4 linked regions of the Tamandua tetradactyla genome follow. The protein of the gene in region 3 interacts with the protein of the main gene of each other region in a biochemical or structural test. Links are inferred from orthologs where the notes say so. Each region holds a gene or a part of one and is shown on either strand. Other genes may lie near its edges.

Evidence for each region.
Region 1: the proteins of PLCG1 (region 3) and EEF1A1 form a complex in vitro, tested with the Homo sapiens proteins (2 studies listed by BioGRID, with this or other methods). The link is inferred for Tamandua tetradactyla from reciprocal best matches to the Homo sapiens genes PLCG1 and EEF1A1.
Region 2: the proteins of PLCG1 (region 3) and BAG3 form a complex in vitro, tested with the Homo sapiens proteins (2 studies listed by BioGRID). The link is inferred for Tamandua tetradactyla from reciprocal best matches to the Homo sapiens genes PLCG1 and BAG3.
Region 4: the proteins of PLCG1 (region 3) and ERBB3 form a complex in vitro, tested with the Homo sapiens proteins (2 studies listed by BioGRID and IntAct, with this or other methods). The link is inferred for Tamandua tetradactyla from reciprocal best matches to the Homo sapiens genes PLCG1 and ERBB3.

The regions. Positions count from the first base shown.
Region 1 is NC_135331.1:129,525,698-129,533,032, forward strand, and holds the start of EEF1A1 (elongation factor 1-alpha 1), read right to left. Parts: upstream 3,017-7,335; 5' UTR 2,994-3,016; intron 1,990-2,993; 5' UTR 1,955-1,989; coding exon 1,811-1,954; intron 1,560-1,810; coding exon 1,380-1,559; intron 1,201-1,379; coding exon 904-1,200; intron 826-903; coding exon 675-825; intron 590-674; coding exon 333-589; intron 255-332; coding exon 20-254; intron 1-19. UniProt on the Homo sapiens protein: Translation elongation factor that catalyzes the GTP-dependent binding of aminoacyl-tRNA (aa-tRNA) to the A-site of ribosomes during the elongation phase of protein synthesis.
Region 2 is NC_135339.1:82,090,701-82,098,449, reverse strand, and holds the start of BAG3 (BAG family molecular chaperone regulator 3), read right to left. Parts: upstream 3,003-7,749; 5' UTR 2,967-3,002; coding exon 2,781-2,966; intron 2,608-2,780; exon of another isoform or gene 2,567-2,607; intron 2,533-2,566; exon of another isoform or gene 2,036-2,532; coding exon of another isoform or gene 2,033-2,035; intron 1-2,032. UniProt on the Homo sapiens protein: Co-chaperone and adapter protein that connects different classes of molecular chaperones including heat shock proteins 70 (HSP70s), e.g. HSPA1A/HSP70 or HSPA8/HSC70, and small heat shock proteins (sHSPs), e.g. HSPB8.
Region 3 is NC_135327.1:11,016,369-11,023,416, reverse strand, and holds the start of PLCG1 (1-phosphatidylinositol 4,5-bisphosphate phosphodiesterase gamma-1), read left to right. Parts: upstream 1-4,044; coding exon 4,045-4,261; intron 4,262-7,048. UniProt on the Homo sapiens protein: Mediates the production of the second messenger molecules diacylglycerol (DAG) and inositol 1,4,5-trisphosphate (IP3). Plays an important role in the regulation of intracellular signaling cascades.
Region 4 is NC_135333.1:123,144,774-123,152,177, reverse strand, and holds the start of ERBB3 (receptor tyrosine-protein kinase erbB-3), read right to left. Parts: upstream 3,007-7,404; 5' UTR 2,854-3,006; coding exon 2,772-2,853; intron 1-2,771. UniProt on the Homo sapiens protein: Tyrosine-protein kinase that plays an essential role as cell surface receptor for neuregulins.

The sequences.
Region 1 (7,335 bases), on a different chromosome or scaffold from region 3:
TTTCTGAAACCATCCTTACCCAGAGGAGGATAGTCAGAGAAACTCTCAACACACATGGGCTTGCCAGGAACCATATCAACGATGGCAGCATCACCAGACTTGAGGAATTTGGGACCATCTTCCAACTTCTTGCCAGAACGGCGATCAATCTTCTCCTTCAGCTCGGCAAACTTGCAAGCAATATGAGCTGTGTGACAATCCAGCACAGGTGCATAGCCAGCACTGATTTGACCTGGATGGTTCAGGATAATCACCTTTAAAAAAAGTTTAATTTAGTGAGTCTCAGGCTCTGCAACAATTAAGAAAACGTAGCAATTAAACTGTGTTGTTACCTGAGCAGTGAAGCCAGCTGCTTCCATTGGTGGGTCATTTTTGCTGTCACCAGCCACATTGCCACGACGAACATCTTTTACAGACACGTTCTTGACATTGAAGCCCACATTGTCCCCAGGAAGAGCTTCACTCAAAGCTTCATGGTGCATTTCAACAGACTTGACTTCAGTTGTAACGTTTACTGGAGCAAAGGTGACCACCATGCCTGGTTTGAGAACACCAGTCTCCACTCGGCCCACAGGCACAGTACCAATACCTAGATACAAAGTATTATCAACATCTTATGTGAAAACTATATTCTGGGTACCCCCCCCTTAAGTTACATCTTAAATTCAGCTTACCACCAATTTTGTAGACATCCTGAAGAGGCAGACGCAAGGGCTTGTCAGTTGGACGAGTGGGTGGCAGGATGCAATCCAGAGCTTCAAGCAGCGTGGTTCCACTGGCATTGCCATCCTTACGGGTGACTTTCCATCCCTTGAACCAAGGCATCTAAGAACAAGAAACTACCAATTACTGACATCAAAAGACACTCCAAAGCTTTTTAACAATTCTCAAAAAGTCACTTACATTAGCACTTGGCTCCAGCATGTTGTCACCATTCCAACCAGAAATTGGCACAAATGCTACTGTGTCAGGGTTATAGCCAATTTTCTTAATGTAGGTGCTGACTTCTTTAACAATTTCCTCGTATCTCTTCTGACTGTAAGGTGGTTCGGTGGAATCCATTTTGTTAACACCAACTATTAGTTGTTTCACACCCAGCGTGTAAGCCAGAAGGGCATGCTCTCGTGTCTGCCCGTTCTTAGATATACCAGCTTCAAATTCACCAACACCAGCAGCAACAATCAGGACAGCACAGTCAGCCTGAGAAAAGTCATATCCTGTTAAATCAAAGTTCTCCTCAAAGTTATCAAGCTGAATTTAGATGCTACAGAAGTGTTCAGAACAAATCAAGGCCTTGCATTATTGAAAGCTTTCATTAAACTGAACCCTGAAAGAGATTCTAAACGCAGTTATGTTTCCAAGTTATTAAATTTACAAACCTGAGATGTGCCTGTAATCATGTTTTTAATAAAGTCTCTGTGTCCTGGGGCATCAATGATGGTCACATAGTACTTGCTGGTCTCAAACTTCCACAGGGAGATATCAATGGTGATACCACGCTCACGTTCAGCTTTTAGTTTATCCAAGACCCAGGCATACTTGAAGGACCCCTTTCCCATCTGTAATAGAAGAATGGTTACTTGTTAACTCAAACAGTATCAAACCCCATCTTGAAATTCCACTTTATAAACTGCAAACCCTTGGAGGTCTTAGTTTAATTTCCAAAAATAGCTACAAAGCTAAGAGCCTCGCAGAAAGTCTTTGCTGATCATTTAGAAAAATGTACTAACTGGTCAACCTTTTAGAAGGTACCTTATGTTTCAGCTAGTCAACTTTAGCATTCTCCCTTAACCATCTTTCCCTTTAGTACCTCAGCAGCCTCCTTTTCAAATTTTTCAATGGTTCTTTTGTCGATTCCACCACATTTGTAGATCAGATGGCCAGTTGTGGTGGACTTGCCCGAATCTACGTGTCCAATAACGACAATGTTGATATGAGTCTTTTCCTTTCCCATTTTGGCTTAAGATGTAGTGATGGCTTTCACGACACCTAAATGGGGGGTGGGGGCGGGAGAAAAACACCTCTTAACCACCATCCGAGAAACTTAAGCCGCGATGGAAACTAAAAGGGCAAACTCCAAGGAGAACTACCTTCCAATTGCCAACCTGGCCTAACTAGTCTCCACCCACCAATGTGGTGACTCCATTGCAGAAAATCCCCTCCCCCCAAGCTGAGGAAACCTTCCTCCGGAGCGGTAGGGGCCACAATCGAAATGACATGACTATGCCCCACTGCTCCGTAGGATCACAGGAAGCAGCGTCTGACAATGAAAAAAGGCCCTTTTTCTTTGTGTGGGTGACTCACCCGCCCGCTCTGCCGACCCGCCGCGTCCTCCATTTTGAGCTCACTACAGCACGGCCGAGGAGCCGCCATCTTTCCGAGCACGCAACTGGTGCCGAGCAAAAACCGACCTCACTTCTCCGGGGGGTGTGGGGGGGGGCGGGCAGACTGGGCACCGGAGCCGCTGGGCCAACCCCATTATCTCACCCCTCGCCCATCCGGTGGCCGCGCCCCGAGGAGCCCGCCTCGGCTGGCCGAGGCCGCGCCGGACATGTGCGCGGGACAACTGGATTCCACCACCCTCCACGCCTCGCGGCAGTCACACAACCCGAGGAACCCGACGACGCGCCCGATAAAGCCTTACTCTTGCCGAGGTCCTGCCCCAACAACGACTAAACTACCTCAATGAGAATATACCCCAACTGCTTATTTAAGTCAAGTGGCCGAGGCGTAACGAGAAAGACGCGAATGAGCGGCCAGATTCGCGCGCGGCAGCCCGGGCGCCTAAGCCAGGCCTCACCTGAAGCAATAAAAAGGGCTCCTGAGAAAATCCAAGGCCTCGAATTCTCCCACCTTCTTCCTCTTACAACCCGAAATTCGGGGTCAAGAACCCCGCAAATGTGGGTCGACAGAGACATAAGTAACAAAAAGCACGCGACAGCTGCCAGCTGTTCAAGGAGGCCCGGCCCAAGGGAGCCACACCCAGCACTTACCTGTGTTCTGGCGGCAAACCCGTTGCGAAAAAGAACGTTCGGGGCGACTGCGGCACTTATATACGGTCCTCCCCCACCCTCGGGAAAAGGGGTGGAGTCAAACACGACACCGCTTCCCAGTTCACCCCGCGCCTCCTCCACCAGGCACCGGTTCAATTGCCGTCCCCTCCCCCACCTCTCTTCTCGGGGACCGTGGGCGATGTGCGTTCATCCAACCAAAGAACACACAGAGTCTGGCGCATGCTCCTCTGGACCCCGACGACGACGAGAAGACAGTGGGTGGGGGGCGGGGACACACAGATCCCTCTGTTCTAGGATAGTGGGAGTTTTACGACGGCCCCTGGGATTCCCTAAAGCAGAGGCGAATCCGCCTTTTGTATGAATTACTCTCGCTCCGGCTGGAGGGTGGGGAGCTGGGCGGCCGGGAGTGGCCGTCCAGAATTTTTCTTTTGCCAGTCCTGGTTTAATCGCAAACGCGGTATCGAGGTTGGAAAATCCCCTTACCCCACATTCTGCTTCCCCTCTTCGATTTTGCCCTCTCGCAGGTCGTAGACAATCCCCAGGAACCGCTTCCTCCGCTGGCTTCATCCCTACCGGGGCTGGCTCTTCCTCCACCGCTGTCCTTCACGCCCCTCCGGTTTGGAAAGGGATCCAACCGAAGCCAGCAGACCCCGGGGTCGCCTTTCCAGCCCCTACCATCTGTAAGGGGTTCAACTCGATGACCGTGGCTCGACGAATCTGTTCTTGGGCACGCAGGCCTCTTGGCTCGTTCCATTCAAAGCCAGCTGCGTTTATCAAAGCCGTCACACGTTCATCCCCTCCCCCTCCGTGTTAATGCCAGACGTCCAATTTTTCGGTTTAGAATAGACCTCGTTTCTTCTAACTCTTTTCCTTTGGCTAACGGGTCACACGCGAGTGCGTATGTGCGTGTATCCTTGTGGTACATTTTCCCAGTGTACTCATTAGACTGCAAACGTGAGAAATGTAAGAAGAATCTTTCAGTCTTTCCACATGATCTCATGTGGTGATAGAAATCTACCAAGACAGCATCGCCAAGCGTATACACCCAGTCTCCTATCCACAACTGGATTTGTGATTTTTTTTAAATCACCGCTTTTCAAAAATTCAAAAATGGCCTATGCCATTTAGGTAAATGGCTTCATTTTCTGTCGTATTGACTAACTGCAGTTTAGCAAATATCAAGGGCGAGATTGGATAAGATTCGACCTTTTTGCCTATCAAGTTAGTCCCTGCGAAGTGCTCTGAGGTAAAACAAAACAACAAAAAACACCTATATTTTTAATGAGCTAATTACTGGATCATTATGTCTCTTCTTCCAAGTATAGAACATCACTGCCCAACTTCTCAGAACTTAAGTATTGTATTCGAGTGGCAATAATTGTCCAGGACTAAGCAAAGGACAGTGAAGTATGCAAAAGAAATATCACATTCTAGAGAGGAACCTATAATCAAGTTGGAAGAGGAAAACTAAGATAAAACGATTGGGAAGCAATTAAACACAAGCTCGTATGTTGCTTACTTTCTAGTTCATGGTAGAATATGGTTCTAATCCTAGGGTTTAGTTATATCTCAGAATTTATTTTTTAATGAACGGTCTTCTAAAATAGCCTTCCTATATCTTTGTAGATAAAACTTTCTAAAATCAGGTTTCTCTATTTTTTCATTGGAATGTTTCTTGTTTCATTTGAGATAAGTTTAATAAAAGAAACTAGGCACAAAGTTTCACTAGCAATAAAGATAGCTAGTATTCTCTATCCACAAAAGCCTTGTCTATAATGCCTGTATTTCTGGCTTCTTGCCTTTCAAAAATTGTTTTTTCACATTGCATTTTCCTAGTGCCCATATCACATATCTTGACAACATAGTCCCTGTTTATAATAAGAAAATGATGTACCAATGAAAATCCATTACCAGCAAAAGAACAACATAAGAATCTCTGCTTTCTTGTTTATTTCCTTGGAAGTGTTCATTAATGACTGTTCTCTATGGAACTAGATTCCCACAGTCAGCCATAGTGGTATGTAACTGTAATACTGACTGCACACTTATTTCAGATAAAGATTAGAGCACCACATAAGATTTATTTTCCGTGCCCCCTTAAGCAGTGTATGCTTCAACTGGTTTAGACTTATATACGCTTGGAGATAATATAGGGGCACATAAAATATTTTAACAGGACTTTAAAAGGAATGGCAAACTTTTGGGAATATAAAAAAAATGGTTATTTAGTGATGAGGAAAGAAATCAAAGACTAAAGAAAAACTGATAGTTGAATATTTGAAAGTTTTTACATGGAATCCAAAACTGTAGCTATCTCAGGAAGAAATAAGTCAAAATGAAAGTGGATATTGGTAAAAGGGAAAGTATCAAAGATAATTTGTTAAGTAAATTAAGGTGAGGAGTGAAACATACATAGATCACTGAAAATGGCATTATAAATATATGTGCTTTTATACAATCCTAAAATTGTAATAACTGGAGATACATATGCTTTCAGTTGAATTGTTTGAACATATGGATCTGCTATAATTTAAGTAGTATTCTTCACATATATGTAGATATGTTTGTGTGTGTATTCAGCAACATACTGGGCACTGTGGAATTCTTGAAAAGATGACCAACAGCAAGAGCTTATAAAAATCACAGTTCCCCTGATTGAAATCCCACCTTTTCACCCTTTCCTAGTATGCCAATCTTAGTTTCCATTAGTTTAAAAAAACAAAAAATTAGCACTTCAAATATAAAGTAACAGAATGACACAAAGATGTTTCTTTGTGAATAATGGCATCCAGCTTCTAATTATGCTGAGATAAAGGAAAAAGGAAGTGCGAATCCAAAGCTATCTCAGAATATAAGCACTTCATAAACAAATATCTTAAAGGATATGCTTTTAAAATGGCACCTAAGGAAAAGGAAAATTATACACAAATCCTTGATTCATATCCAAGTAACCTACTTTCCAGCACCGTCTGGGTGCTCTTATTAATGTTGCCATACTGGTTTCGATTTTGGCGGAGGGAATGGAGAACTCAGTTCTTGTGCCGAAGAACCTTCGAAGCCATCGGAGCCGTATTACCGTGTATTTGGGGTAGACACTAACTAACCCGACGCCTTTTCTCAGGGCAGAGTTCACATTTCTGCTCTGGGCGGGGACCCGGCTCTTCTCCAGCGCTTGGACAGCTGTGGACCCGGCGGGTCCTGCCGTGAGTAACCGGGCGCCTCCTACACTCGGGCTCCGGTCTCCAGAGAGCGGACATAGCTGGGTCCGCCCACCGGCACGCCCCCAGCTTGAGTCAGTTTCTTCAGTTCTCAGACTCCGGAAGGAAGGGCCGGGAAGGACGCACAAGGGCCCACGTGCCTCGGCTTGAGAGTAGGATTTTGTTACCGTGGCAGGTCTCGGAAAGATTGGAGCAAGTGTTATTTAAAACAAAACAACAAAAAACTTTTTCCGGGGCCCTAATGTTTCACTAACGTAGTGATAGCCCTCTTCCCCCCCCCCCCCCCCGCGGCTTTACAGCAGCTAAGTACGCCTTTTATTAACTTAATTGTTAAAATGGTAATAGTAACACGATGGAGACTTAATTGTGGGGGGAGGGGCATATTCTAAAACTGTATTTTACGATTTTCTTTAAACTTGATCATGCCGTTTAGATTGGCCAAGTTAAAATATATTGTAACTAAGCATCTGTATAACCTCTTTTAGGAAGAAAAATAGAAGAATTCATCTATTTACTTAGTAAACGGATGAAGAGTAATACTTCTTTGGTATATATAATTGTGCTTCAACAAACAAGCATCCTTCAATGTTGGCCAATCACACTGCTATTGGGCCTAATTTAAATTGTAAGGGAAGCTTACACTCCCACTCATATAAGGAAGTATGGAAGCCCCTTTTTTTAAATCTAGACCTAACCTGGCTCACATTCCCCCGAAATTACGTCATCATATGATACTGAAGGATTAAGTTTACTAGAAAATGATAGGTGTTTAGAGCATAAAGCTTATTCAATTGATCCCCTCTAGATAAGCGCAGTCAGATATGCAAATTAAGCAGTCAACCCACCCTAATCTGTGATTGGTTAAAAACGGAATGAATAATTATGATAATAAGGAGTAGAAAACTCACCTATACTTTGCTAGTTTCCGAGACTACATTGTAGCTACTGAGTAACCAGCCACTGGTGAAGGGTGGTGGTGGGGGGAAGGGACTTCTCTGTGTTAGGAACTAAGATAAAAGGAGCCTGGCCTCTCTGATACTCTGCTCTTCCTTGCTGCTTATTCCTGTGTGCCCTTTTTCATGAGAAAGGAATAAAAGAGCTTC
Region 2 (7,749 bases), on a different chromosome or scaffold from region 3:
CACATCTTGTCTGATCACTTCCCTATGCCCAGCACAGCCACCCTGCCAGACTCTGTGGGGTGCTGTCTTCCTTCCCTCACCACGCCTCCTGCATACTCACACCCACCAAAGCCTTACACCAGGCACTGGGCGAGTTTCACCAAGAAAAGCGGCGCCAAGCAAAGCTCTGCCGGGGAGATATTAAGCAGGTACTGCTTGGGAAGGAGCCCAGGGTCTACAGACAGGGGCACAGTAAGCAGCAGCTTCTTCTACAAAACGGGGATCACAGTCCTTCAGGGGCTCCCTGTTGCCAGGGTGGTAAACAGAAACCTGAGGGAGGCATTTTAAATTCAGAGATTCTTGAGCCCCACCCTGAACAATTCAGATTAAACATGTTGGAGGGATGAGATGGGGGGAGCAGGGTGGGGCTGATGACGCAGCAGGCAATCTGTGTTCTTAAAAGGCTCCCCCAGACACAGCCAGGCTTGGAAATCAGTGCTCACGACCTCTAAGATTTGGAGATTCGCAGCACTGGTCCTTGAGAGAGGAGGGTCTCTTTCTCCTGCCAGAGGTTTGTGCACGATACTCCAAGATACCCAACCTGTTTTATTCAGGGAGGAGACCAGGAAAGAGTGGTTTCCTGATTCCTAAGCAAATGCCAACCTCTCTGCCAGGAAAGGGGTCTGGATTGATAGGAACTTGTCAGGCAGTTCGTGGGAAGCCCAAGCGTGTAGAAAACTGAAATCCAGAAAACTGCAGGTGGGGAGGTGCCACAGCTTACAATGGAGGTGGATAAAACTCAACACCTTTGTCTCGAACCTTCCCGGCTCTGCAATGAAGGGTAAAACAGACCTCCACTGCCTCCTCTGAAAAACGGGGGTGAAAGAATCACTCTAACCACTTCAGGGGAAGGTGGTACAGTCAGCTGTGAGAAGATGGAGTATAAATGACTAAATAAAACACTAAGTTCTAGTCTTTTCCTTCCATGAAAGCCACCTCTTTACCAACACGGTTAGACCCTAAACATCCTGAAGCTGAGTCCTTGCAGAAAAAGTACTTCCCAAATTGCAGATGCTCAAGGAATAGCTTCTGATTGACAACACTTCCTCTTAAAGGTGAGGATGCTTGGAATGTCCTCTTAGCTGGGGCCCTTTGCTCACTGTGCATTTTACATTGTATTTAACCTTTCCCAGGATCAGACTTCTGATTTAGTAGCTCTTACTTTCTATATGTATTTTTTAAAGTAATTATTGTAATTCGGTCTGTTTCTTCTCCTCAAGAAGTTTTATGAAACTACAGCCTAACCCATCCACCCGGCGGGTACGGGAAGCAAAGCAGCAAGCAATCCAACTCCCTGAGAAAGTTCCATGTTGAAAACAAAGTGCTGGCAATTTGGGTCTCATACTGAACTCCCAGTGTTTGTTTAAACCTGATCTTCACTGAAAACAAAGGGTGCCAGCAGCTTCTAACAAGCCCATCTCTACAGGGAGAACACACAAAAAGGTGCATATAATTATGTCCAACCCAGCTAATTACACCTTCTAGATCTAATTTTCAGAAATAAAGATGCAATTAACTCCTTGTAAATGTAAACTGCTGAGTGTAAGATACATCACTTTTGGACACGAGAGTTTTACCAATATTTTAAAGGAAAAAGGTGCAGAACATCATAAAGGTCTTTCTTCTAAAATAAAGCCTTGCAAAGCATATTTAACTGTGACTTTTTAAATCTTCAAAATAATTTACCAGTTTCTACTGCTTTTATTTTGCACAGACAATATTAAGTTACCCTTTAAGTACACTATTTTTTGCAAACGTTCTATTTTGAAAAATTTTAATTTGTAGAAAATTGTTTCAATACAACTAATTATAATTTTTTAAATTACCAAATGTATAAAAACTGTCATGCTTCTAAGGGTTAAGAAGTAAATACTCTTACATGTATTTAGATGAAGCATATTTCTGCTGTATATAAGTATTATTACTTAGTTATTTGTGTATGGGAAACAAATCCTAAATATTTTAATGCCATTACAAGGAAGGGAACACATACCATTAAAACAAACAAAAATCATCATTCTCTTTCTCTCCAGTTGAGGCGAAGTCTTAAGGGAAGGGCCAACTGCCTGGAAGAACAGCATCTTGTTTTTAACAAATCACACTGAAACTCAATGTTACTCAAAAAAATCCTCAAACAACGATACAACAGTAATTTTAAAAAGAAAAAAAAAGAGACTACTTATATCAGCGTCCTGAGTCACTCTGTCCGCGAACCGGGAGAGTAAGGTCAAAATAACTGTCAACCAAGTTGTCCAGAAGTAGAGGGGGAAATTCGGAAAAGCCCATCCCCCAGGCACCAGGGGTCGGCGGATGAGAGAACCTTCCAGTAACGACTATCTCAGGACGCGGAGCAGAGCCGGCGGCAGGGCCGGGCCCAGGCCTCCCGCTGACCAGGCCCGCCGCCCCTTCCGAGCCCGGGAACTTGGGGACAGCTCTTGACGCCCATGCCTCCACCCCGTCCCGGGTCGCACTTCCCCGTCCCCCTCAATCCCCTCGCAAAATCAAACGCGGCGCGGTGAGGACTGACCTCTCCGGGGCACTCCGTCACCCCCACGCCTCTCAAGGCCTGGCCAAGCGCAGCAGGGCGAGCTCGGGGTGGGATGCCCCGACCCCCGGTGCAGGGACCTGGGAGCTGGGGCCAGCCCCGCGCTCGCCCAACCCAGTCCAGCCGCCGCCGGGCCGGGCCTGTTCCCCCGTCGAGGTGGGGCCGCCGGCCGGGGCGTGGCGCGGGTCCGGCTCACCTTGGGGCCCTCGGGGGGCACGCGCGGGTCGTTCCACGTCGTGGTGCGGCTGTTGTGGTCCACGAAGAAGGGCCAGCCGGTCTGCGGGTCGATCTTGATCTCCCAGCCCGGAGGCAGCGGGTCGCGGTCGCCGGCGCTGTTGCCGGACGCCATCTGCACCATGGGCGAGTGGGTGGCTGCGCTCATGCTGGGCGCGGGGTTGGCTCGGAGTGGCGGCCGCCGGAGCGCGGAGTGCGGGGTCCCCGAGGGCTGGGGCGCGGGATCCCGGGTCGCGGGGTGCCGGCCTCCTGGGCGCCGAGTCGCTGGGCCGCCGCTGCGAGGACCTCGCCGCCGCCGGAGTGTGAGCCTTGCGCGCCGCCGACGTGTCCGGGAAGCCGGCGCCGGGCACCTTTATGAATTAAAGGAGGGGGTGACGTGGCCTGAGAGGGGTGGAAGGGTCTGGAAATAGCTTCCTCACTGCCAAAGGGGAAGGAGGAGATAAAGGGACGTAGCAACTGGCCGGGTAGAAACTTCTGGTCCCATCCAGAGAACTTGGCGGCGCCCGCGGGTTGGATGCGGAGCTCCGCCCTGAGTCATCGGCTCTAATCATGGCGCGGCGTGGCGCGGCGGGGCGGGGCCTCGGGGCGGGGCCTGGGGGGGGGCCGGCCGCCCCTCCTCCCACCCGGAGCCCTCCTTCCTCCTCTTTTCCCTCCTTGGGGCTGCCCGGCAGAGGTCGCCCGGGGGTGAGCGACGACGCCTTCGCGACATTCGCCTGCTGGTGGTCAGCTGGGTCCGCGGGCCCCGCCCGGGGGCGTCCTCCGGTGTCCCCAGGACCGGTTTCGGTTTTCAGACTGCTTTGCGCCGCGTGGGTGTTCCTCGCAGGGGTGGGAGTCCGCGCTGCGTGGCGGCTGCCCCACCTTCGTATAGAAACGAAGGCATTGTGAACCTTCTGGGTGGTTTTTAGCTACAGTTCTCTCACTCCCCCCCGCTGCCCCCCGCCCCAATACACTGATATTAGGAAAATCATGTGCTTTCCTGGGGCCCGGGGACTGATAGGGAGGAGTTCTGGAAGACTGCTCTGACACCATCAACAAAGTCAGGCAGAAAATGTAAGTGCCATGGAAACTCACCTGCCTTCTTTTTTGAAACCTGAAGAAGGAAAAACCATGGTTTTATTCTCTTTGAATCTTATGTCTCAAATACAGAAACTCTCATTGCAGTGAACAATTCTAAAGAAAAGTCACATATAAAAAATTGTGGTAACATGTACCCAACATTTTCCACTTTAACCGCTTTCAAGTATACAATACAGTGGTGTTAATTACATTCACAATGTTGTGCTACCATCACTACTGTCCCTTGCCAAAATCTTGACATCACCCTAACAGGAGCTGTACCCAAGCCTTAATTACCTATTCCCCACCCCTCCACCATCCTGGTCCCTCTAATTTATTATTTTTTTAAAGTAGAGTTTGGTTTTTGCTACCAGATTGAAAGATAAAATTGCAAATTGTGACCTCTATTTGGGAAGTAGGGGCCAAATCTTTTTTACCAGTAAAAAGATTTGTTCGGTTGATTAAAAGGTGGTTGCATTTGTAACCTCAACTAAGCACCCTGAGTCACCTGGGAGGTCTTTGCCCAGAAAAGAGAATGTTTGGGAGGTTCCATTTTATATCTTTGGGCATGCAGACTCATTCACTGGGAAGCTTTTTTGGACTAATGTTAGGCCCAATTTTCCAACTCAGATTCAGAGAATATCCTGGAACTCTAAGAGACCCCCTTGCCTCTCCCTATGCTTAGCTCACTCCTTCTAGAGCTAGGAAGGCCTATCAATCATTTCCAGTGGAATGATCACCACTTACAAAGGTATACTTAGCAGCTTTGAAGTCCCAAAATTCAATTTTGTGAAAACATGCAGGTGATTTAGACTACAAGGACTGTGTCGGCTCACCAAACATACAAGAGACTGATGTATAAACCCGAATGCCATGCACTGATTTACCATGAGAAATATTACTGTTGAAGGCCCTGGACCCTCATGTCACTCGTGGTGTCTAATGTGTCTTCATATCTGAAGCCCTGAGCACAAGGCTGGGTCCAGAATCCATATTCAGTAAATGTTGATGTTCATTGAAGAGGAATCCAAAGTGAGTTTTTATTCCTATTTCCTTTGCTCAATTTACTTTCCACTACAGTGTGAGTTTAAGTACTGACGGCATTCTTTGCTGATCTTTTTTTTCCTTTCCTTTTCTTCTTTTGCTAGACAGAAGCAGGGAGGAAGCAAGTTTCTCTGGAACTAACCTAATTGCTTCTGAGGGTTGTGTGCCACGAGGGACTTATGGATTTGTCTAAAACAGAGCCCTGAGTCTTAAAAGCTGGTTAGAAGTTTCTTCAGGCTATGCTTTATTACAGATTTCTTGTAGAATTTCTCACTGGTAAGAGTAACCTCTGTCTTAATCCAGAAGCCTGTGACATAGCCTCAATGGGAGGCCTCAGATACACAGACCAGAAAAAAGAATAAAACTTGGGTATTTCTTCACCGAGTTCCAGACAGTGAGTCTTGACTTTTGCTCAGATTTTCCCATCAGCTTTAGCCACTGCTCCAGAGTTCAGAAAGATGTAACCAGATGAGTTACATGGGGAGACTTGGTTAGAGGGTTTCTTGCCACCAAATGAGACAGAGTCCTGCTTTCCATCCTGTCTCTCCTGGAAGAACTTACTGTATTGCTTATTGACCACAATATACTTGGTAAGTTATTTTACAGAGAGAAAGGGAACACGGTATTGTTTGTTTTATGGAATAATCTGAGGGATTACATATCAAATCAACTAACTCCAAAGCTTGAGTAACTAGAATTTCTTCTATTTTCGTGGGGGAAAAAACCCCAAAAAACAAAAACAAAAAACACGCTGATATTGCCAGTCTAAGGGTATTGCCTTTCCCAGAATCACTCTGTGTAGTTCTCTGTCGTATGCCTGTTAAAAAGTCAGGAATTGTTTTCTTTTTCTGTGTCTTCTGTTGTACTGTGAGCTCCTTGAGAGCAGGAACTGGCTTTTATTCTTCTTGGTATCATCAGGACCTAGTGCCTGGCATATCAAAGTTGCTTAATAAATGCTTAAGTGAATGAGATGATATCAGTTAATGATTCCAAAAGTCCATCCAGCATGCCTTGGGGTAGCCCTAATTTAGCTTAGTCCTTTATAGCTATAAAGTTCCACAAGACAAGTAAATATTCACAATGATGAATGCAAAGTACCTTCACATCCATCTAAGAAAGGTAAAATTGAATACAAAATAGTTGGGTTATTTTACAAAATTTGGTAATTCAGATAACTAACAAACCAGATTACTTTTATTGAATACATACCATGGTCTCTTCCCTTTAGGGAATGTATAGTCTACTTTGTGTGTTTATGTTATTTATTACATTATATAGTATCCATTATATACTATGTGTATTAGTCAGGGTTCTCTTGGGAAACAGAACCAACAGGAGATATCTGTAAATATGAGATTTTACAAAGTATCTCACACAACTGTGGGGATGCAGGAATCCAAATTCCATAGGGCAGGTTGCAAACTGGCAATTCTGATGAAGGTTTTCAATGAATTCTCCAGGAGAGGCTGGCTGGCTGAGGTAGAGATAAAAGTTCTCTCTTCTGACTGCTGAAGTCTCACCTCTCCCTTAATAGCCCCCCAACTGACTGAATTAAATCCAGCTGATTGGATTCTCCAATTGGGGAAGACACCCCCCTTAGTTGATCAAAGATGTAATCAGCCATAGGTGCAATCAACTGACTGATAATTTCAGTCCACAAAATATCCTTGTAGTAATAGTTAGGCCAGTGCTTGCTTGACCAGACAACTGGGCGTCATCATCTGGCCAACTTGACAAATAATCCTAACCATCACACTATGTTATATATATATATATTTAAATCAAAGTAGCAATTTCTCCAGTCTTAGGGTACACATTCCCCAAGATTTCTGAAGTTTATTTTCCCAGCCTGAGCTTCACCCTGGATTCCTTCTTCTCTCCTACTATCCAATCATCACCAAGTCTGTAGACTCCACCTCTTAAATGTTCCTTGACTCTGTCAATTCTCCTCTATCTTCATTGCCACCAGCCTGGCCCAGTTCACCCTCATCTCTCATCTGGATTCCAGCAGCAGCCTCCTAATGGGTCTCCAGCCTCAAGTCTTGTTCATCTCCCCTCCATGACCCACAAGGAAGCCACAGTGACCTTTTTCAAGCGCAAAATGGGTGGTGTCCTTTCTCTGAGTAGATCCTTTGATGGCTCCTGGTTGCATTCTGTATACCAAAGTCCAAACTCCTTGGCCTGGTGTACCCAGGTCCTTCCCCCCTCCACCCCCATCCCCAGTGTTCACTATGTACCCACCCTGCTGAATTAAATCATGCACACCCTGCGCTTTCTTTTGCCTCCACACACGCTTCTTCCTCCACCTGGGTACCTTCTCTCCCACCCCCATCTACCTCCCACTCCCTTGGCCTGACTCCTCTTGGTCTTCAAGTCTTTGGCATCCCTTCCCTCATCCTAGTCTGCATCTTGTGTCCTTTCTAAGTACTCTCGTGCAAATCTTGTGTCACCCTTTCAGCTACATGCATGGCAGTTGTTTGTCTGATTGTCCGATTTGTCATGGATTAATTCTCTTGAGGTCAGGGGCAGACCCTTCATCTCCACTGTTTCTCTACCATCTATTATGGGGGGCAAATAATAGTAAAAACAACAATGAAAATTGTAATGGCTATGATTTACTGAGTGTGCTTACTGTATTCTGGGTACTCTGTTAAAGGTTTTATGTCAATGATCTCATTTAATCTTTGGGAGGAGGCTGTGATGCAAGTCTTATTCCCACAGTTGCAAAGTGCTGCAGGAAGACTACGCGCCCTTGTCAGTCCCCTTTGGGGATTGGCTCAGTTGAAGAAAACTGCCTTCCCCAAGCAGTCTGGAAGCCTCCCAATGGCTTG
Region 3 (7,048 bases):
CCTAAGGTCATTAGGAACAGACAAATGAATATTGCTTCATCATTTGTTGTTAATATGTTGAGGACATTCTCCACTATTTCAATCAAATAAGTTTCCATGTGAGAAACTTATAATTTAGGCCCAGGAAAATGTTTCTACCCCCAAGAATCAGAATAGAAAGAGCTTTTGCCTTGGCTACCACTCATGGCAGCTACGTTAACCTATGTGGTTATTCTATCATCTTCTTATGACCCCGTACCCATTCTTATAGGACAATATTTTTGACTCTTGTTTTAAATACCCAACTTTTTTTTAGCGGTTGGAAAATAATACATTTGTGGAGGGTAAGGAAGGACTTACAGCCCCAACTGCTGTGAGAGCCACCTGCAGAACACCTTCAGCTGTTGGCTCCCTCTAAGGGAGCCCTCTGGCCCTGTGCTCTTCCCAGGGCAGTCCACATCCAATGACTGGTTGAGGCGGGGCTATGAAGACCAGCCAGTCCAGCCCTAGCTGGACAACAGAACTCCCTGAGGGTTGGCTGAGCCTGTCATCAGGCTCGCATCACAGCTTGATTTCTCCCTCTGCCCACTCCTGTTTCCTTCCTCTTCCTTCCACAGTATTGATCCCAAGGGCACTTCCAAGTAAACATTCTGCACACTAACCTCTGTCATAGAGTCTGTTTCCGAAAGAACCCAACTGCAACAACATTTAACAAAATAGAAAACAGATTACGTAGTGTTATTATGGAAAGGCGTGAGGATATACAATAAATGCTTATACATACACAGGAGGCAACACAGCATTGACTCTGGAGCCAGGTTGCCTGGATTTGAATCCCATCTCTGCCACTTATTAGCTGTGTGACCTTGGGCATATCCCTCAACCTCCCTGTGCTTCAGTTTTCTCATGTGTAAAATGAGGATACTAACAGTGCTATCTCAGTGTTGTAATGTGGGTAATGCTGTTACATGGTGTTTACTACGTGCCAAGCACTGTTCTAAGTGGTTGTTAAATAGAACAAAATAAATCTGTGAGGCCAATCCCGCAGGGCCGGAGGAGCAGCTGAACGACTTCTCCCCAATTTCCAGGCACAGGCACTGGTGTAGGCTAGGGCATGTTGAAGCATGAGTGTTCACAGAAATAGGCCCAAGCACAGCTTGCCCGGGTGATGTCACGGATGTGTGCTTGTGTGGGTGCTGGGGCTACTCCCTCCCAACCTGTGTAGCTACACGTATTGCCAGTAGCACCCACGTACTCATATTTTTACTGAGCTTGGGGAAGCCCAGGCCAGCTACACCCTTTGTTGCCCTGTTTTTCTAGAACTGCCTTTGGCAGAGGGAGGCACCTGAGACCTGGGATGCTGGTCTAGAAGTTCCAGGAGGAAATGGGTCTTTGTTTCCTCATCAAGGGACCTGGCAGCAGACTCAAAGCACAGGCTCCAGGTGGCAGGGATTTCTGGAACCCCTGTGGGCCCAGCCCCAGCAGCAGAAGCAAAAGCAAAGGAGTATGGTCTGCACACTGGGAAGCATCCAGAGAATGGAGAAACAGATCTACAAAGTGCAATTCAGCCCAAGTCAGAACAGGGAAGTTTAACAAGGGCTGAAGCGTTTAAGAGGGGATCTTCTAGGGAAAACGGACAAGGTCTGGTTAGGCTGGTAGAGGGGGGGCTCCCATTCAGCCTTCACCTGCCTTCCTCCTTATCTCCTTATTCCCTACTCCCTCCCTTACTAAACTCTGCCTTCTTTCTATTTCTAAACTCCCCAAACTCTTTCTGGCCTCAGGGCCTTTGTACATGCTGTTTCCTCAGCCTGGAAGGCACTTTCCTCCAACCCAGCTCTAATAATTCCCCTGAATATTTCTAATGAATCCTAAAGAGACCTTCCCTGTCTACTTGATCTGAGGTAGGTCTCTCTAATGTTTTCTCTCACAGCCCCCTGTTCTTTTCCTTCCATCACAGTGTTTCTTAAATTAATGTCTGTGAATTCTGGGCCCCTTTGTCCTCCCAGCTTGTGGTTCTGACACCTGGCAGAGGTGTGCTCAGGTTCTGTAGTCAGGGACAGTACCTCTTTAAGCCCAAACAAGCCCAAGCTGCACCCTATGAGCAACCATGTGCTGCTGGATGCTATGTTCTGCCTCTTCTCACCCATACTGACGAACCAGCTAGCTCTATGCCCCCTGACTACTCACTGCCATGGCCTGCTTAAGCCAGGGATTCTCCTGTGAGGCAGAAACCACACAGCATCAGACTTGAGTTCAAATCCCAGGGCATCGACTTGTTTGTTATGCGGCTCAGGGCACGCCGCAGACCTTCTCTGCATCTCGGCCTCCTCAGTAAAATGACAACGATACTGTGAGATCAGAGAGTGATTGTGAGGATCAGGTGTGATCACAAGCACAGACCGTGAGTTCCTTCCCTCCTATTCTAAAGGGCCGTCGCTAGGTGGCAGTCCATCTCAGCTGCCCCATATCCTCTTGGGCCCAAGCTCCATGAAACTATTAGGACAAAGCTTTTCAACTTCATGCTGGAATTCTGAGCTTTTTAAGAGCCATATTCAAGGGAATCACAGACAAGAACAAATGCACAAAAAAAGTTACCACTACACCAAGACAAGGTCAGAGGCAGCTCCAGGCACGGCACTAGTTCTTGTACAGTTCGGTTACCAAAGTGAGCGCCCACTCTTCTAGCCTCAGTAAACCTGGAAGCTGCTGGATGCTGTACTGGGCCTCTCAGCCCTGACCACCTGCCTGGCTCGACGCGGTGCTGTGACAGGGGGCTGCTAGAGTGCAGGGACGAGTCCAGGGAACAGCTTCAGAAAGACAAAGCGTGTGATAGTCAAACCACCACAAAAAGGCCTTGTGGCTGGGGAATGGAGAGTGAAGGGAAGGAGACGAGAGGGAGGGAATGGCAGGCCTTCTGGGCCACAGCCAGGAGTGTGGTTTTTAAGTGCAATGGGAAGTGAGGGAGGGCTTCAGGCTGGACGAAGGGGAGCATGTTTTAATTTCATTTTAAAGATGAAAGCATGGGGAGAGGATGCAACAGACGGGAAGCGGGCAAGACCGAAGGTGCGCTGAGGTGGATGAAGGACACTGGGACTGCGGGACGAGAGGCCTTGCAAAGAATGCTCAGGCCTGGAGGGCGTCTTCCACCGGGCGGCTCTCGAGGACCACGCCGGCCGCAAAAGCGGGACAGGAGTGGGTCTGGTTAGCCGTGGCAAGAGAGGCCCGCCCGCCAGCCCCGCACGGCCAGAGGGGAGGAGGTGGGACAGGACTGCTGCCCATCAGCAGCCGCCGGCCAATCCGCAGACGACCCCGCCCCCACCCCTCCCCTGAGAGGGCGCACGGAGGGCCCGCCCCCGCCGCCGCCGCCGCCGCCGCCGCCGCGGGTGTGAGGCGGCCCGGCCTGGCTCCCTCCGCCGGGCATCTCGCCCAGGTAACTTGGTTTGGCCGGGCGGGCCCAGGAGGCGATCTGCACCCTCTTATCTCCTCCCCGTGGCCGCGCGGGCGGCCCTTGGCGAGTGGGGCGGGCCGTGGGGGCTGAGGAAAAGGCTGCGGCTGGGCCTGTGCGGGACGGCGGGCTGGGCGGCCTTCTGTGCCGGTGCGACTGACCGACGGGGCTGACGGCCGGGCCCTGCAGCCTGGGGGCGGGGCCGCCGTGCGGGACGGGGGCCGTTCGTGGCCGTCAGGCTGCGTGCGGGCTGCGCGTGGAGACTCGGAGGGACGACTGATTGAGTGGGAGCGGCGTGCGCGCGCCCGGGGCCATCACGCCCCGCGCCCCCGCCTGGGGCCTGTCCGGGGGTCGCTGGGCGCAGGCGCGACGGGCCGGCGGGCGGGGGTCCTCCCCACGCGCGCGCGGTCGCCTTTGTTCCCGGCGCGCGGGCCGGGGCGGGGTCTGCAGGGACGCCCCGCCCCCTCCCGCTCAGGCCCCGCCCCTCGGTCTCCGCCCGCAGGAGCCGCCGCCGAGTCCCGCTCGCCGGCCGCCGCTGCCGTCGTCGCTGCCTCTTGCTCCCGGCCGGCCGGGCCTGCGTCGCCGCCGCGCCCCTCGCTCCGGCTCTCGCAGCGGGAGCCATGGCCGGCGCGGGGTCCCCCTGCGCCAATGGCTGCGGTCCCGGCGCGCCCTCGGACGCCGAGGTGCTGCACCTCTGCCGCAGCCTCGAGGTGGGCACCGTCATGACTTTGTTCTACTCCAAGAAGTCGCAGCGACCCGAGCGGAAGACCTTTCAGGTCAAGCTGGAGACGAGGCAGATCACTTGGAGCCGCGGCGCCGACAAGATCGAGGGGGCCAGTGAGTGCGCTCCTCCGGGGGCCCGCTGCGCGCGCGGGGGCGGCGGGGAATCCGGGCCGGGCTCCGGCGCGCCCCGGCCGGCGGCTGGAACAACTCGGACAAACTTTCGGCCCTTCTCCACCCCCTCCGGTCCCCAACTCGTTTCGGGTGGTCACCGGGGGGGCGGGGGTATCCGGATCCTCGGTCACCTGACAGGACACCCCCTCCCCCAGCTGGCCGCGGCCAGCCTTTCTTCAAAAAGAGCGGTCTTAGTGAAACTGGACCATCAGGCCGGGGCTCTCATTTGTAAAGGAGCCTTTGGGTTCCCTAAGGAGAACTTAGGAAGATGTTGGGGGAGGACTGGTCTTGGAACAGAGCCAGGCTTTCTCATCCCCCTCTTGGGAGGAGGGAGGAAGGTGGTCCTGTTTGCTTTGGAAAAGCCGCAGAGAAGGCAATGGCTGCTCTTTCCTGCTGCTCCTTTTGTCCTGAAGCTGAGTTTTGGAGGCCTGTGTGGTCAGCAGACACCCAGAGCCAGGGCAGGGACTCACAGTGGGTCCAGCTCCCTTGAACTTGGGAGCACATTCCTAGGAGCTTGACCTCAAAAAAGGCCAGCCTGAGTGCCTTGGAGTCAGGTATTCTTTTCAAGAATGCTCACCCAGTTTGGAATTAGCCCTTTTTGTCCTGGGTCCGGTGGTTGCAGGGAGCTGGGAGCCAGAAGCTGTTGCTCTTGGTTTCCTGCCTCTTTCCCTTCCCAGTCCTGAGCTTGGCTGCTTTGTGCAGGTCTCTGGTGGGAGTTGGAGGATTCTGTAAAACCCCAAATCTTTGGGAGTTTTACTCTGTTTAGTATGTGCCTGTGCTGTGGCCGGATGGGCACTCTGCTCTGCCCTCCATTTCCCCACCTCCGAGTGTGGAGAGATGATGTGACTGCAACTGTAGGCTGTGGTTTGCTTCCTGCAAGGACCCCAGCCGCTCCTGTTAGAGAGCCATGTTCAGAACCAGGTCCATGTGGAGGAAGGGGGTCAGGAAGTGCCGCCCCCAAGGGAGGCTCCTCCAGACCTTCCTGGCTAGGGTGTACATGGGCTGCAGATGTGCTAGGCGATTGGGAAGAAAGAAGGAAGGTCTTGTGAGGCAGCCAGCCACAACTACAGACTCCAGATCTGACAGAGCCGCTTGAACCGTACCCCCATCTTAGCTGTCCAGTCACTGGGGGGAAGAGTTAGGGTGAGGTGGCTGTGGACCCCAAGGGGAGGAAGGACAGACACTGCCAGCTTTGGTGGTGCCCCCGTAATGTGCTAAATTTGGTGGCACTTTAAACAGTGGCTGCCCATCAGGCAGTAAGTGTAGCACGGTGGTTGGAGGTGGGCTGTGTTTGAAGCCCAAATATGAGTGTGTTCCCCAGCCAACCACTTCTCCGCACCTTAGTTTCCTCATCTGTAGAACGAGGGTATAGTATATCCATTCATATAGTGTTGCCGTGGGGATTAACTGAGATCACTGATGGAAAACATCCAGCACGGTGCCTGCCATGTGGTATATGTTTAGTGCATGGGAGCTGTTATTAATAAGCATAGTGTGGCCGCCCTCCTAGACCCTGACTGGGGAAGGTTGAGGGAGGTAGAGTGTGGCTGCAGGAGAGGATGAGCTTGCTAGGAAGGAAGGAGGTTGGGGACCAAGCTCACATTTACTTAGATCATTACCTTGAAATAGGGAGGAAATGGTTTTGCTTTGCCCCAATCCATCTCCACCCCCCACCTACCTACCACGTAGAATGGTATTTCTGCAGGGAAGGTATTTGACTATCTTTTTTCTAAGTTGGGGCCTGAGAAGTGTGGAGGGGAAGTCTAGTCCATGGTGTCTCAAGTCTTTGGGGACTGGAGGCAGAAATGTGGATTGATTACCCTATTCACCAAGGATGGGGTGGCTAGATGTGTACAGATTCAGTGATCTCATCAGGTAGCTGTGGATTTGAGAGGCCTGGAGGGGAGTAGGCAGAAGGTGTGGGAGGGGCCCCAACCCTTCATTTTGGGGGGCTCAGGTTGAAGGAGTCTGGGTAAAAAGGCTTGTAGGTTACTTGAGCAGAGCTCAGTTCTTGTCAGTGTAACCTCCCTCTGAAGCCTTGCCTTGCTTCTGCCTGTGCATTGGGTTCACCCTCTGGTGGGCTCCAATCCCTGCAGCCTCCTCTGCAGGCTCCGATGGGCTGTGCTGTGCTGACCAGAGGGCAGAGGAGAGTTGGGCTGCCAGCTCGGCCCCCTGCTACCTGGCCTCTTGCCCAGGGGCCTCAGGGGCCTGTCTTTCCCCTGCTGACCCTGCCAGGGTACCATGCAATGCCTGTGGCCTGGCCAGAGAGAGGAGCGTTTGTGTCTGTGGGCCGGAGGAGAAAGAGTGTGGTTCAGTGAAAGTGCATGACGCTCGTCTGTCAGACCTTGTCGTGTTCTAACTCCACACCCTCACTTGACCGCCTGTGAAGTGGGGCTAGCACCTGTTGATTTCTAGGGCGGGGGGTTTGGCTCAAAGGAGGAGTGGGGAAGTGCTTTGGTTGTGGTGGTGGTGTAACAGGGACCAGGTTGTTGTTTGACTTTTTTGTTGCAAATACTGACATAAGTGAATGAAAAACAATAGACTGCCTGCTGGGTTCTGTAGACTTAGTTGTGTGTTCGTGGCTAACTCTCACAAGGGTCCATCCATTTTACAGATGAGGAGATGGAAATACAGGGAGTGGAGTATGTCACAGGCGATACTGCTAGTGTGAGACAACCCTGGTGGGACCCAACTCTCCAGCTAGTGGCTGGCCAGCCAGTCCCAAGATGA
Region 4 (7,404 bases), on a different chromosome or scaffold from region 3:
CCCTCAAGTCTTGGGTTCAGACAAATGACCTCACTGGTGGGGGGAGGGGACTTTGGCGGAACGGAGGGGGGCGTGTCAATAGCAGCTTTGTCTTTAAAGCAGGAAGATAAGGGGCTGGTTGCCTACCCCTCTCCCCATCCTATTCCCAAACCCTGGCTTCCCTTCTCGCTCCTTTCCCTTATTCCAACACATTTCAGCTCCCTCTGCCTGATACTTTCTAGTTTCAGCAAATGCAGAGAAGCCAGAAGGGAAGCAGCAGCAGAACCGCCAAGCCCTCTACCCAATTTCATTGTTAGAAGGGTTTCATTAAGAGGCCAGGCCTTCCAACAGGGCAATCCTTACCTGCATTAGGGGAGAGGGACATGAAGCATGTCATCTTGGGGTCCACTTTACCTTATCTATGTGGGAGATACAGGGGCTCTGGAACTCTTGGTCTACCCCTACCCCTGTCTATTTCCTCTGACTCAGTGAAAGACTGTGCGTGGGGTGGGGGGGAAGGTAGATACCACCTGTTCCAACCACCCTTCCCTGAGGCAGTGCCAGCTTAGTGGGAGGCAGGAGTGGGGGTGGGGGGAGAGATGGCTGAGGCTTAAGTCCCTCTCCCTAGATCCACCCCAAGTCTGACCACTTGACCTTTGAGGGCTTCCCTTTCCTAACACTACCCACCAAGCGCAGGGGTGAGCTAGACCCAACAAAGAGGTAAACAGGTCAGGAACTCCCAGAGAAGCATGGGGACTCCAGGGTCCTTTGGGTGAAATGAAAAAGACTATGAAGGTTAGTCATTTCTAGAACAGCTCCACCCCGATCCCTTTCCTGGCAGGACACCCCCTCTTCCAAGTCAAGGCGCCAATCCTTCTCCCCAGATAAGGGAGGAGCCAAGATTTCTACACAAGGAAGTGGCATATGTATGCATGCGTGCACACACACACACACACACACACACACACGTGTGCAAACCTCCTCTGCTGGCCCAGGGCTCTCTATGGGGTCTTCCTGATTAGGAACTATTTAGGTGTCCCCATGGGAAGTATTTAGGTGTCCCCATCCATCCCACCTGCCCATATGAGTTTGTGAAGACTTTGTGTCTATGCTTGGAAGGCTACAGTATTAGAGATACATCTCTAGTCCTCCACCATTCTGAGGGTAAAGTCCATATTACACAAACAGGGAGCAAAGGGCCTAGGTGGGGAGAGAGTATAAATAACACCTCTGGGGACGAACTAGGCAGCCTGAGGAGAGGGCAGAGGGACTGGAGTTAGTAAAACCTTGGACTGTAGCCAGAGGCCAGGGGCATGGGGAGGGGCAGTGTCACAGGCCCTCCTTTGGTAGAAAGCTCTGGGGGAGGGACACAGCAAGAATCTCCAACCCCTCCTCAACCCCCACCCCCATCACAACCAGCAGGGACAAAGGGGCTATAGAAGGACTGAGACAGGGCCGGATGCCCAGAGGCTGCAGAATCCAGATAAAGGGTAAAAAGACCCAACCATGCCTGCCTCCTGCCTCCCCTAGAGACAGAGGCCAGAATCTCGGACTCCAGGGTTCCGTTTAAGATTCCGAGGACAGAGATACAGTCAATTTACTACTTCCTCGTACTCCAATCCCCAGACCCCCGCCCTTCACCAGCTGGGAGTGTTCAAATCTCAAGATCCCAGGGTCTAAATTTAGGCCCAGCAACTGTGGGTGAAGCACAGGTGTTTCTCCCACTCCCACCCTGGGGAAGGGGCCCTGGCTCTGCCAAATACCAAGCTGGAAACTTGGGGGAAGGGAGATCAATAGGACTTCTCCAGTTCCAGCACCCCTCAGGTATCTGTGGTCTCAGAGACACCTAAAAGGGGCTCAGATGTCATGGGAGTCCAGAGAGGAATAGAGAGCAATCTGAGACTCTGTCTCTTCAACACAAATAAACAGAATAGGGGTAAGGAGTGGGGCCTGGGAAGGACTCCCAGAACAGGAGCCTCAGGAGGTGGTAGAAGTGTCCTCTTGGATCTTAGGTTGGGGGTAAAAAAGACAAATAGGAGAAACAGAGTCTGGAAGTCCTGCCTCTGTAGCTTCTTGCCAAGGGCCTTGTGTATAGTAGATGCTCAATAAATATTGAATTAACCTGGGTATTGACAAAGAGAAGTTGGTCAAGGCGGAGACCAGCCAGCTTTGTTGTTTTGAGGGAAAGCGGGCAGGCAGCCTCTGCTGGGCCTCTCACCCTGATGTCACCTGGACTTGGCCCTCTCGTTAACTCAGCACCCCCCCCCCCCCAGGGCAGGCCAACTCACGGAAGAGGAGGTGCCGCTCCTGTTTTTCCAACACCAGAGAACAACAACCACCCCCACCCCACACCCCAAACCTACCGCAGCTCCGCCCTGTCGGCAAAACAACGAAACTGGAGGTGGCTGAAACTCAGGGGGAAGGGGCTGGGGAGCAGGTCCCCATCTCCAACCATCTCCTGGCGCTTACAGGACGGAGGTCCCCGCTCCTGCCCCCGTAGAGTCCCTCAGAAATGTAAACTACTACGTGGGTACTGCCCCTATCACCAGGGACGAATTAGAGGGTCGGCGACGCGCTAGTAGGGGGCTGGTCCACGAATCCCGTCCCCGCCCGGCGGACGCCGAGAACCCTAACCTCTGAGCTTGGCCATCGCCTCCCAGGTGGTCCCCGCAAACCTGGGGCCAACATCCCCAGTCTCGCACCGCCTGAGACCCTGCCCCTGCCCTGAGGGGCTCCACGCTCTCGGTTGGGGCACCAGCTCCAGAGCCTGCAAAGGCTCCGGCGCCGCTTACCTGCCTGCGAGTTGCCCACCTCTGAGCCCCGGGCCAGGCTAAGGAAGAAGCCCAGCACCTGCAGAGGCGCGCTGGCCCTCATGACTCCGGTGGAGAGTGAGGGAAGCTCAACCGAGTCCGGCCCGAGGGCCCCTGGACTAGGACATCGAAGCGGGAGCCACCTGAGCCGCCAGCGAATTAGTGGCGGCGGCAGCAGAAGTTGCAAATTGCAACTGGAGCCGGAGTCCGGGGCGGATGGGAGGGAAGGGGTGTGTGTGTCTATAAGAGTGGGAGGGAGGGCGCACAGGGAGGAGGGGGTGAGTCACGGCCGCGCCTCCTCCCGCGCGGGGCGGGAGTAGGGTTTGCGGGAGCCTTCGACCGCCCGCCCCAAGAGCGCCCCGCGCCCCAGTGCCCCGCAACCTGGGGACTCCCTCTTCTTAGTCAAGCAGGCTAAGAAGTTCCCATCCTACTTTTCATTCGCGAGCTGGGCTAAGAGGAGACTGAGAGTCCAAATGCCCCCCAAATCCTGGAAAATGTAATGGGGGTGGGGAGAGCGCTCCAAAGCCCGGCCCTCTGAAATCTGGCCTCGCCCATTAACCAGATCGCTCAACTCCCCCAGCCGGTTGGATCACCTGGGGATTTTCTCCCTGAATGTGAATATTTCCCTCTGTGTGTGTTTTTCGAAGGGAGAGGGCGTTCTTTGCCTCATGTGCGGCCACCTCAGTTTCCCCGGGCTCGATACCCCATAACTCATCCACTCTGCCCAGGAACCCGAGCCCCAGAGGCTGCGTGAAATTGCACTGTCTCCGGCCGCTTCCTCCTCCAGACCCGGCGCCGGCCGGGCCTCTCCGGGGGATTTGGTTGGGGGGCGGGGGTGGTTTCCAGCCTGGGAACAGACCCTGGAGCCCGCCTTTGCATTTCCACCCCGGGAGGGGCTTCCGCACCTGTCGCCGTCCGCTCTGCTGCCCCCCACGGCCGCCTGGGAGAACAGCTGCCTCCCCTTCCACCCTGGAGTCTGACCGCGCCGTCGGGGCGGCCCCAGTTCCCGACGGATCTTCTTGGGACTCAGGTCGGCACACAGTCCCCTCCCTAGGCGCTCCCGCACACCCTCCCCGGAGCTTTCCAAGTGCGTGCTCTCGTTGGAAAGGAGGGGGTTGGCGATGAAGGAGCACGAACAGAGGGCACTAGAGACTGTGTGATTCGGGTCCACGAATCACTTGGACCCTTGGCACCCTCCCAGATCTAGGTCAGAGGCCGCCGCGCGACCGGCGGGTGGCTGCCCGAGACCCTGCCTGACCCCAGCGGACCCGACCCGTGCCCCTGGGGGGCAGCCGGGGCACTTCAATCCTGGGTCTCGCAGAGACACCCGAATAATTTTCCCCAATAATTCCAGAACAGTTAAACCTTCATGCAGAAAACTCCCCCATACCAACACTGATCGGCAAAAATTCTTTAAACCTGCTCGGTATTGATATGCAACATAGAGGGCTTTGACCCCCACCTAGACCACTCTCTTAGCCATAATAGTGGTAACAGCGACACCTTTGACATATAAATACCTAGACCGCTTAATTTGCAAACTGTTTCTTCAAATGTAGTACCTTAGAGAATGTTTCACTGACAAAAATTATGTGAGCTTGGCAACATGTTTGATAGAACTGGAAATAGAAGCTCTGGTGACAGTGGAATCAGGATGTTTGACTAGGATTTCATGCTGAGACGGAAGCTTCCTCTGCTCAGAATCAAACTCTCGGGAGATAACTGGGCTAATAGAATTTAGGGGGTCTCCATCTTCACTTACTATCCCCCAGACCAAAGGGTCTTTTCATTGAATCACTCCCTTACCTCAAGGTAAAGTATTCAGGGCCCTGATTCTGAAATTTGAATTCCAGATGGCAAATTTTCCGCTATCCTTGATTTCCTTTTTATAAATAAACAGTTGCAAACAGGTCGTGATTTGGATTTAATGAGAAAAGGCAGGTAGAGCTCTTAATTACCGGATTCGATCCTTTAAGAAGTATTCGATGAACTAAATAGTTGCATTTAGTGATATTATCATCAATACTACCCCACCCTCCATAACTAGATCCCAACCTGTGCTTGCTGATATCTACCTGTGGCGACCCAGGGCCGGGTCTCCCCCTCCATATTGAGAGTAACTCATTGCATGTAGCTGCCTACGTGACAGAAAGAAGTTATCTTCAGGAGGAGGAAAAGAATGTACAGATGGTATACTAAACCCTTTATCTTGTAAATCATTGAAACTCTGCTTCCCTGATATGTTGATAAGAAATTCCCAAACCCGTGTCATGAGACCCTGCTAAAACTCTGTTCTCATACCCTATGAAATGTCCTTGTCCTGAACCCTTATAAGCTGTCCCTTTGTACCCCCGCCTTTCTGGGGGGCTGACTTCCATTTCCGAATGGCTGACGCTGGGAAGAAGAATCTCCTCTTGGCAGGTCATCATGTCTAACTTGTGCCTGACATATTCTTTGGTTTTAGGGCTGTTTCAATCCGTACTCCTCAAGAGCTGGGTAAGAACACCAAACATTCTTCAATATTTAGACATCATGCTAAGCATCAAGCATATAAACACTGGAAAGAGCTGTCCTATAAGGAGCCATCTCTGTTGGATGTTGCCTGACTGAATAAATACAGAAAGGAAAGGAGGCTTTATTGGTGAAAGCTCTCTGCTGTTTTCCAACACTCATTCTTAACTGATGATTTTGGTTCATATTTAATCTGAAAATAGAAGTAATCAAAATAAAACATCTTTTTCTTCCTATTACCAACCTGACCCATTTACCTCCATCCACACGTTATGTACTGACTTCCATCTTGTTACAATGAAGTTTCTTTGCTTCTCTTTAAGGCCAAATGTCACCCCATCCCCACATGCTCCAGGTATGGAGTCCAAAACCTGGGGACTGTTTTTCCTGCAATTATCCCCCTTTTTCCTGTATTACCAATATTTCTGTCTGCTGGATCATTTCCATCAGCATATGAACATGCTATGACAGCTACCATCTTATAAAACAAAATAAAACAAACAACCTTTTTTTTGACTCTTTGGCCTTCTAGTCCTTTGCTTCTGACTGCTGCTAGGTATTCTATTGTGTTAGTTAGATTCAGTTGTCAACTTGGCCAGGTGAGCATACCTAGTCTTGTTGCTGCGGACATAAGCCAATGGTACCTAATTGCTAATTACATCTGCAGTCGGCTAGGAGGCCTGTCTGCTGCAATGATTGACGTTTGACTTAATTGGCTGGTGCTTAAATGAGAGATCACAAGGTAGCACGGCTAAGCAGCTCGGCATTCCTCATCTCAGCACTCACAGCTCAGCCTAGGCCTTTGGAGATGCAGAAAGAAGTCACCCCGGGGATGTGATGAAATGTTGAACTGGAGTGTCATGGTGAATTATACAGGAGATGAAGTCATAAGACTGATGATGCATTGTGTAATGGGTGTCAGAAGAGGTGGAGAAGAAGAAATTAAAGATGCTGTCTAGCTTTTTGCCCTGAGAAATTAGAGAGATACAACTGCCATTTTATGAGCTGGGAATAACAGGCATAGAGGGAAGTTCCTTATAAAGAGAATATTTTGCTGAATATGTGGCAGAACTAAAGTGAGCAAGAGGATACGGAAAAAGACACCAGGAATTGAACCAAGGTCTCCTGTTTGGCAGGCGAGAATTCTTTCACCGAGCCACTGTCACACCACCCTAGAGAGGAGTTTTTATTTGCAAAGTGATAGAACCACTCAACTTGAAGTGATGAAACAAAAGGAGAGCAATTTATGTAAAGCAAGCTGAAGAAAATAAAATTGGAGCAGAAATCAATGAAATTGAAAATGGGAAAAAATAAAAATAAAACAGCAAAATCAAAATCTAGTTTTATGTAAAGATAAATAAAATCTATAGATCCAGACTAAACAAGAAAATGTGAGAAGAAACAAATGAGCTATTTCAGCAATTGAAGAAGGATTATCACTGGTGATTCCACTGACATTAAAAATATTTTTAAAAGTGCATTACGAACATCTCTACCTCAAAATTGATAATATTGTTAATATATACCAATTCCTTGAAAGCCATAAGCTACAAAAACTTATAGAAAGAAAATTTGATGCCTTCAATGGATCTGTATCTATTAAATATTCAATCAATATTTAATAGTCTTCCAAATAATAAAGGCCTACATAGTATTAATGGTAAATCCCACTAAATACTTAGGGAAGAAATTATGATATTACATGGAAAACTCTTCCAGAAAATAAAAACACAGGAAACAAATCCTAACTCATCTGTGAGGCAAGCATGCCTTTAATCCCTAAAGAAGATAAAGATGTGATAAGAAAGGAAAATTAAAGATGAATCTCTCCCATAAATACAGAAGCAAAAACGTAGTGTCCAAAACTTGGTTTCTAGTACTAATATACAATAAAAGGAGCCAGGAGCCCTTAGGAAAATGACGATTCTAGGACAGGGACAGGAGATATATAATGGGAACCTGGAGCTTCTTGTAGCCCTAGGAAGTAATAAAAAGTGTTCAAGCCTCAAATACTCAAACTCACACACATACTTGCACACAATGTTGAAGGGTTTCCCAAAGGGACATAAAACCCACTTGAAAGAACTGCCAATGTTCAAACATG